Yarrowia lipolytica: one gene and its partner. The protein of the gene in region 2 interacts with the protein of the main gene of each other region in a pairwise test. Links are inferred from orthologs where the notes say so. Each region holds a gene or a part of one and is shown on either strand. Other genes may lie near its edges.

Evidence for each region.
Region 1: the proteins of YALI1_B15180g (region 2) and YALI1_E39395g interact in binary tests that used the Saccharomyces cerevisiae proteins (3 or more experiments, as listed by UniProt). The link is inferred for Yarrowia lipolytica from reciprocal best matches to the Saccharomyces cerevisiae genes ALG14 and ALG13.

Annotation. Positions count from the first base shown.
Region 1 is NC_090774.1:3,937,358-3,940,668, forward strand, and holds YALI1_E39395g (uncharacterized protein), read left to right. Parts: upstream 1-2,131; coding exon 2,132-2,722; downstream 2,723-3,311. Other genes in the region: YALI1_E39378g (uncharacterized protein), read right to left, coding at 1-500; YALI1_E39385g (uncharacterized protein), read left to right, coding at 1,128-1,781; YALI1_E39414g (uncharacterized protein), read right to left, coding at 2,947-3,311. UniProt on the Saccharomyces cerevisiae protein: Involved in protein N-glycosylation. Essential for the second step of the dolichol-linked oligosaccharide pathway.
Region 2 is NC_090771.1:1,516,785-1,520,205, forward strand, and holds YALI1_B15180g (uncharacterized protein), read right to left. Parts: upstream 1,243-3,421; coding exon 592-1,242; downstream 1-591. Other genes in the region: YALI1_B15192g (uncharacterized protein), read left to right, coding at 2,468-3,421. UniProt on the Saccharomyces cerevisiae protein: Involved in protein N-glycosylation. Essential for the second step of the dolichol-linked oligosaccharide pathway. Anchors the catalytic subunit ALG13 to the ER.

The DNA of each region.
Region 1 (3,311 bases), on a different chromosome or scaffold from region 2:
CCCCCTAGACCGCCAAGTCCCGATCCACCAATGCCTCCGAGTCCTGTACCTCCAATTGAACTGCCTCCAAGGGCATCTGATCCGGTGGGCCCTTCGCTGCTGTCAAGCTGTCTTGTCTTGCTATTGATCTCCTCGATTACGTCGGGTCTGAAGACCTGTCGCTGTTCCCAGACCTCCACCACTCGCTTGATTTTGTTCCGGAGATCGGTGTTGCCCTCGCGGTAGGTGGATACTATTCCGTCCACAATGACAGTGGAAAACGCCTCGATGAATTCGTCTCTCTTCTTGGCCTTGGCCTGCTGGACCACATCGTTAGCGAGGTAGATCATAGCCAGTTTTCGCTTGAGAGGAATGTTTCGAATGTAGTCGTACCAGGTCTGTGCGATGGGTCCGCAAGCTCGTCGGTGGAACTGGATCCATTGAGACACCGAGACAATTGAGTCCTGGGTCTCATTGAGTGCCGACAGCTTCGACATGAAAGAGTCCACTGAGAAAGACATGTGGTGTTGTGTTGAATAGGATGAGATATGAAGTGATGATGCTTGCTAAAAGCCCCTGTGGATCTGTGTGTGTGTGTGTGTGTGTCAGTAACGTTCCTGTTGTCGGTTACGGTGTAAAAACAGGTGTGTCGCTTTTCTGGTTGTCTCCAGACAGTAAAAGCGGTCGCTAAAATGATTGTTCTGGAGAATTGCAGCAAACTGCAAGTCGGTTTTTAGGCCTTTCGTAACTTATTTACGTTGTTCTGCATAGTCCTTGTCTGACCAACTAATTAAAGTACAATTTCAACAAATATTTGTACGATGTTGCCATTGGGACTACTGTACATTTTGTACGTACAGTAATCCAAAGAAGGCTGGTCATTGACTGTGCCTGAGTACAGTCAGAACGGGGGCTCCAGAGATTGTGTGGGGCTACTGGAAATGTAGGGATAATGAATTGGTCGCATTGATCGGATTAATTTCAAAAAAAACAAAAACAATTCACTTCCATACGTGATTTTCCTCCTCGCACAACCACAGCCACCTTATCAACATTTTAGACTTTCATGACACGTGACGTCAATAAGCTCCACATCATCACCTCCCAAGATTCATCACCCAAATAACGCAACGTCACACACATCAACAATGGCTGACAAATTCCCCGCTCTCGAAGATATTGACGATCTCCCTCAGGATGTCGAAGTCGATGTCGACATCAAGGACACCCACGCCGACGAGGATGACTTCAAGAAGTCGTTCCCTTCCCTGGAGGACGAGGAGAACGATCTCACCGAGAACGCATTCAAGGAGGACTTCCCCGCCCTCGAGGAGGAGACACAGGCTACCACCGGCAACGTTGTTACTGCTGAGGCTACCGAGGATTCCTCTCCCGTCGATGGCCTTGAGACCTCCGTCAAGAGCCTGAACCTGTCCGAGTCCACCGCTATCAAGGAGTGGAAGGAGCGACAGCAGCTGGAGATTGAGCGACGAGACCAGCAGGCCGAGGCTAAGCGAAAGGAGACCATTGAGAAGGCCCAGAAGGCCATTGACGACTTTTACGAGAACTACAACTCCAAGCGTGATGAGGGCGTCAAGTCCACTCAGGAGGCCGCCAAGGAGTTCCTTGCAAGCATAGATGATACTTCCTCTTCCTCTGGCACCACCTGGGACCGAGCTCTGAAGCTGATTGATGACTCTGACACCGGAACCAAGGAGGGTTCTCGAGACAAGACTCGATTCCGAGAGATTCTTCTGTCTCTCAAGGGTGACGTCGACGCCCCTGGTGCCGCTGGTTACTAAATGTATGATAAGATAATGATTTAATGAAGTAACAATTAGTAATTTGTGTTGGTTGAAGTGTCACATTATGTGCTTTTGAGGTGCTGTACTAGTACACTACTTGTAGCTACTGCCACACACAAGTTCTGGCATCTTAATAGCCGTGTCAACTTGTCCATGTATACTGACACGTAAATCGAACGAACTCTACACTCAAATTCAGCACAAAAGCAGATGCAGCCAGAGTACGCGTTTTTCGGCTTTAAAAGATGTAGAATCAGCCCAGTAGCAGACATGATTTCTGTCACAGTCGTTTGGAATATCCCACCTAACAGTGTGCCAATCCTAGTCGTCCTGGACCTCAATCGGTCATGCATGAAAGCAGTGCATTGAGTAAGTTGTACAACTGGGACTGTAGTGTCGTATTCATCATCCTCAACATCTACACCACCATGCTGGTCTTGGTAACAACAGGTGGAACGGTGCCGTTTGAGGCTCTCATCGAGCTGGTACTCTCACATGAATCCATTACTACGCTTTCCCAGCTGGGATTCTCCAAAATGCGCGTTCAATACGGACGGGGCAATCGCCATATCTTCACAAAACATCACAAGGAAGGCGTCATGTCGATAACGGGGTTTGAGTACACCGATGATCTCGCAGGTGAAATGTCGAGGGCACATTTGGTTATTTCGCATGCAGGAACTGGATCTGTTTTGGATGCACTCAGAATAGGCAAACATCCAGTGGTTGTGGTGAACAGTAAATTGATGGACAACCACCAGATTGAGATTGCCGAGGAACTGTTCCGGAAACGGCATTTGCTCGTTTCAGGAGACACGGACTCTGTTGGGTTCATCAAAGCCCTTAAAATGCATCGGGAGTATCTATTTGAGACTCTTCCCGATCCCGAAGAGGGTATTCTACAGCGCATTATTGAGGAGACTGTGTCTTTTATGTAAGGTATTGGGCGTGAGGTTGCGAAGAAAGGTAGCTACTTTCCATCGTAAACGGACTATGATCTACGCTTCTACATCAACTAAGTTATTTCATGTTGTATTTCATTAAGTAGCAATTATTTACTTTATATAAGACGGCGTTGCCATGTCGTGCTGGCTGTGTTTGGTGGGAAAGTTAGTGGATTTGTGCTGTCTAGTACATACTGTACATACTCTGACCTTGGTGTTTATCGTCCAGTCATTCGCTTACCAATCTCACTGACCCAGGTAGGAGCTCGCTCAAAGCCGTTGTTACCGCTCTGGTAATCGATCATGGCAGACATGATACCCTCCCGAGTGGTAGAAACGAAAGGGCCGTGCTGAACAATGGGTTGGTCGAGAATCTGGCCACCCACGACGATGATTCGAGAGTCCTCGGTTTCGGATGCTCGGAACTCAACTCCGTCACCGGCAGTGTCAAATATGGCCACATCGTTGGTCTTGAGAACCTGGCCGTCAACGGTAGCACCTCCCTTCATGACGTAAAGAAGAACATTGAAGCCATGGGGCATGGTCTGCTCAAGCTTTCGGCCGTCGTACTTGCTGGCATCAA
Region 2 (3,421 bases):
AACCTAGGTATTGTAAGTCTGAAATAAGGTTGAGTGTAGATCGGAGTTTTGGAAAATTCCAAGGTTGTGATAACTTGATCAGAACAAAATTTTAATGCGATTAAAAAGAATATCCAGGATATGTAAGACCTTTGTGGATACTATGAAGCTTTAAATCTCAACGTCCGACTCACATTGCCCTGATAAAGACATTATCTCATTACCAAGTAAAAACCCTAAACTTGTTGAGGACATGATGCAGGAGCCGCATGCACCATTAAAATTACGAGCAAAAAGCATGTATACGAGATGTGTAGAGCTCAAACTGATGACTAATGGATCATACAGGAGCGCGGTGTGATGAACGTAGTAATCAAGGTCAGATCGACCACAGATACATGGGGTCCTTAGTGGTGAAGGTTTGTGATGATTATAGATGCTTACATAACCTCTGAGTAAGAAGCACGGAGGTCGGATGTCGTTCATCATTGGTACTCGTACCCAGACTCGTACGGTAGGCTGTTAAATATTGTAAAAAATCAGATCAGGGAATAAATAAATTAATAGCTATGGAGAAAGGGAGACTGCTTCTACAGTATGCTTGCAATCTGGCTAAACTAGAATGCCGTGGTACTCGGCTCTGGGGTACTTTTCGGCCAACTGAGGCCACTGCACGAGGAAACGGTCGCAGAACGGCAGCAGGATGAGCCCACTGAGGCTGAGACGATTCACTCTAGCAAGAGACTCGACGTAGATGATTCGTGTATCAATGAGAGCCATGAATCTCAGCAGAAAGGCTGCGTAGCACAGCATGACACAGGTGGCAGGGCCGTTACACACAATGACGTGAGGCTTGTGTTTGTGCACGAGTTTAACAGCCACAGCGAACGATACGGCAGACGTGATCACACTGGACGGATAGGATTGACCCACTTTTCTCGCTCGAGGAATGTTTTCGAGAACCATTGTCTTGATGTCTGTTTTGGTGGTGCTCTCCAGCACCTTGACTTTCTCAAGTGAATCCACGTCTCCCGAGGACGACACGTAGACTCGCTTTGCGTAGCTTTGGAGCTTGAGGGTCTTGAGCATCCGCAACATCTCACCAGTATGGCCCCCTGATCCCATCATGACCATGAGTTTTGGATTTGAGTGTTTCGGTCTGTATAGGAATCCGAATCGGTTCGATGCTGGCAACACAAACAGAAGCCGTAACAGTAGTAGTACCAATATGGCCGAGGCGGCTATGAGTATCGTGGTGACCATGCTGAGGGTTCTTGTGTTTATTTGTGTTGGAGAGAAACGGGTCTGTTGTGTGTCGAGAGATCGATAGTGGCCGTATGTGCTTAGTGACCGTGCTTGTATTATTGAACAAGTAGCGTCACTCAATGGATGTTGTGTTCTTGGTATCCGTCGTGGGTGTCGTGTGAGAACTGTCGCGATTTAACGCCAGTTGGCAGAACAACACTGCATACCAGCACGACCGTTTCGAAACCTTGTTGAAGTAAAGAACTTGCATACTTGGGGATTAATTAAGCGAGAGGGGTTACGTACTGCCGTTGGGAGTGGGTCAGAGATTGTTGGTGGTGAAACTGTAGGGAGTGGGGTGAGTGTACATCCGTTACAGTACTCTTAGACATGCTGTAACAACGAACTCAAGAAACAGAGGGGAATGCAGAGAGGGGTTGTTGAGTAAAACCCCTCAATAACGGAGAGTGCACATCGATTGAGACATGACGTGTATGATAGATGCATCTTCAATGAAATATCTCGTAATTCGTACCGTATGTACAAGTGCTGTACTCGTACCTCTGATGGTCTCCCACCGAAGGCATATCTCAAGAAAAAAGGCTCACACCATTCTCTACAGGGGGACAAGCAGGGGCTCTAAGTACAAGTACAGAAGTACAGTACAATACATACTGTAGCTGTGAATTGGGGTCCTTGACTGACAAGATGGTAGGTCCCAGAATTGGTATATTCTACTGGTGCAATACGAGTAGTACGAGTACAGTAACACATAATTGAAGAAGCGTAGCATCAATTTTATATGTAATAATTACTGGAGTGCCAGCCACGTGTTCCTTGCACATTAGACAGTTCCAATTTTGTTCGCTGGCAGATGCACAGTGTCGATATAATAGTGTATTAGGTCAATGGAGTCCACCAAACTTCTAGAGTAACATGTCTTCACAATTTGACACGAGAACACTATCACCAGATAAACAAGTACGATCCCAATACTCTAGATGTGCCACTAGTGCGGCTTCAAAGTGGCTTAATAATACTACAGTACTGCCCTACACTGTACGATATACCACTCTGGCCAAAAACCTGCCCTCCAATGTTTTCTTCACACCCCCCATATCTACAGTAAACTTCACCTAAACGAAACTCAATTAGTTGATGCCCAACTCCCACAACAGCCCAGACGCGTCCCAGTATACTTCATAAACACTTCATTAACACACGAGATATTCGACCAGCAACCATGGCGGAGGTAACCGTGAAAGACCCGGCTTACGGAGGCCAAGAACTGACCATTTCAAGCCTGCTGTTTTCGCCCTACTCCTTTTTCGTCACCATAGACGTGCCCAAACGCAAGGCCGTCATGGCTCTGATTAGCAAAGGAGGGGGAACAATCGTTTCCAGACCGTCAAACACCACGCCAATCGACTACTGGCTCGTTCCCGATTACTTCGAAGGAAACACACGTCTTGGAGCCAAGCGCGTCTCCATTGTCTTGGACAGTGCAAGACAGGGACAGTTTCCCCCATTACGCGACTCTGGAGGCGAAGATTACTACTCGCCGTTCGCCAAGACCAAGAAAGCGCGAACCGAGTATACCGACGGAGAAGTGCGGTTCCTTACAGCTTATATCGACATGCACGTTGGAAAGCCACCTCTGGGTAAGTCAGATCTCAGATATCTGTTCGAACTTATGAACCACAAACATACCGAAGAGAGTATCAGATCGAAACTCAAACAGCTGGAAAAGTTCCCAGTGAATCTGGAACGGACGAAGCCGGTGAGCTACCAGGCTCCTGTTGTTGAGAACGACCTCGTCGCGAAGAAGACAACTGAAACACCTATTCCAGGTACTCGCTTTCCTGATGTTCTTCTAAATTCGATCCCTGCAGCCAAGAGAACCTCAGCGGACACGGTGCTGGCGACTCCAGTTCCGGTTAAACCGCTTGCTATGTCTACGCAATTACCCGATACAACTATGGAAGTGCCAGATACACCAATACCTTCTAAAAATACGCATGGTAAGACGAAACAGGGAAACACCCAGGTGCCTGGTACACCTGAGACGAAGAAAGGGACGTTTATTTCACCCCAAAAGTTATCGCCGAAGTCGGCTCAATCGTCTCAGTCATCTAATCAAGTTCCTGACACGCCTGCCAAGTCAGAGCAGCCCGCTCCTGCAACAGAAGCGGCTCAG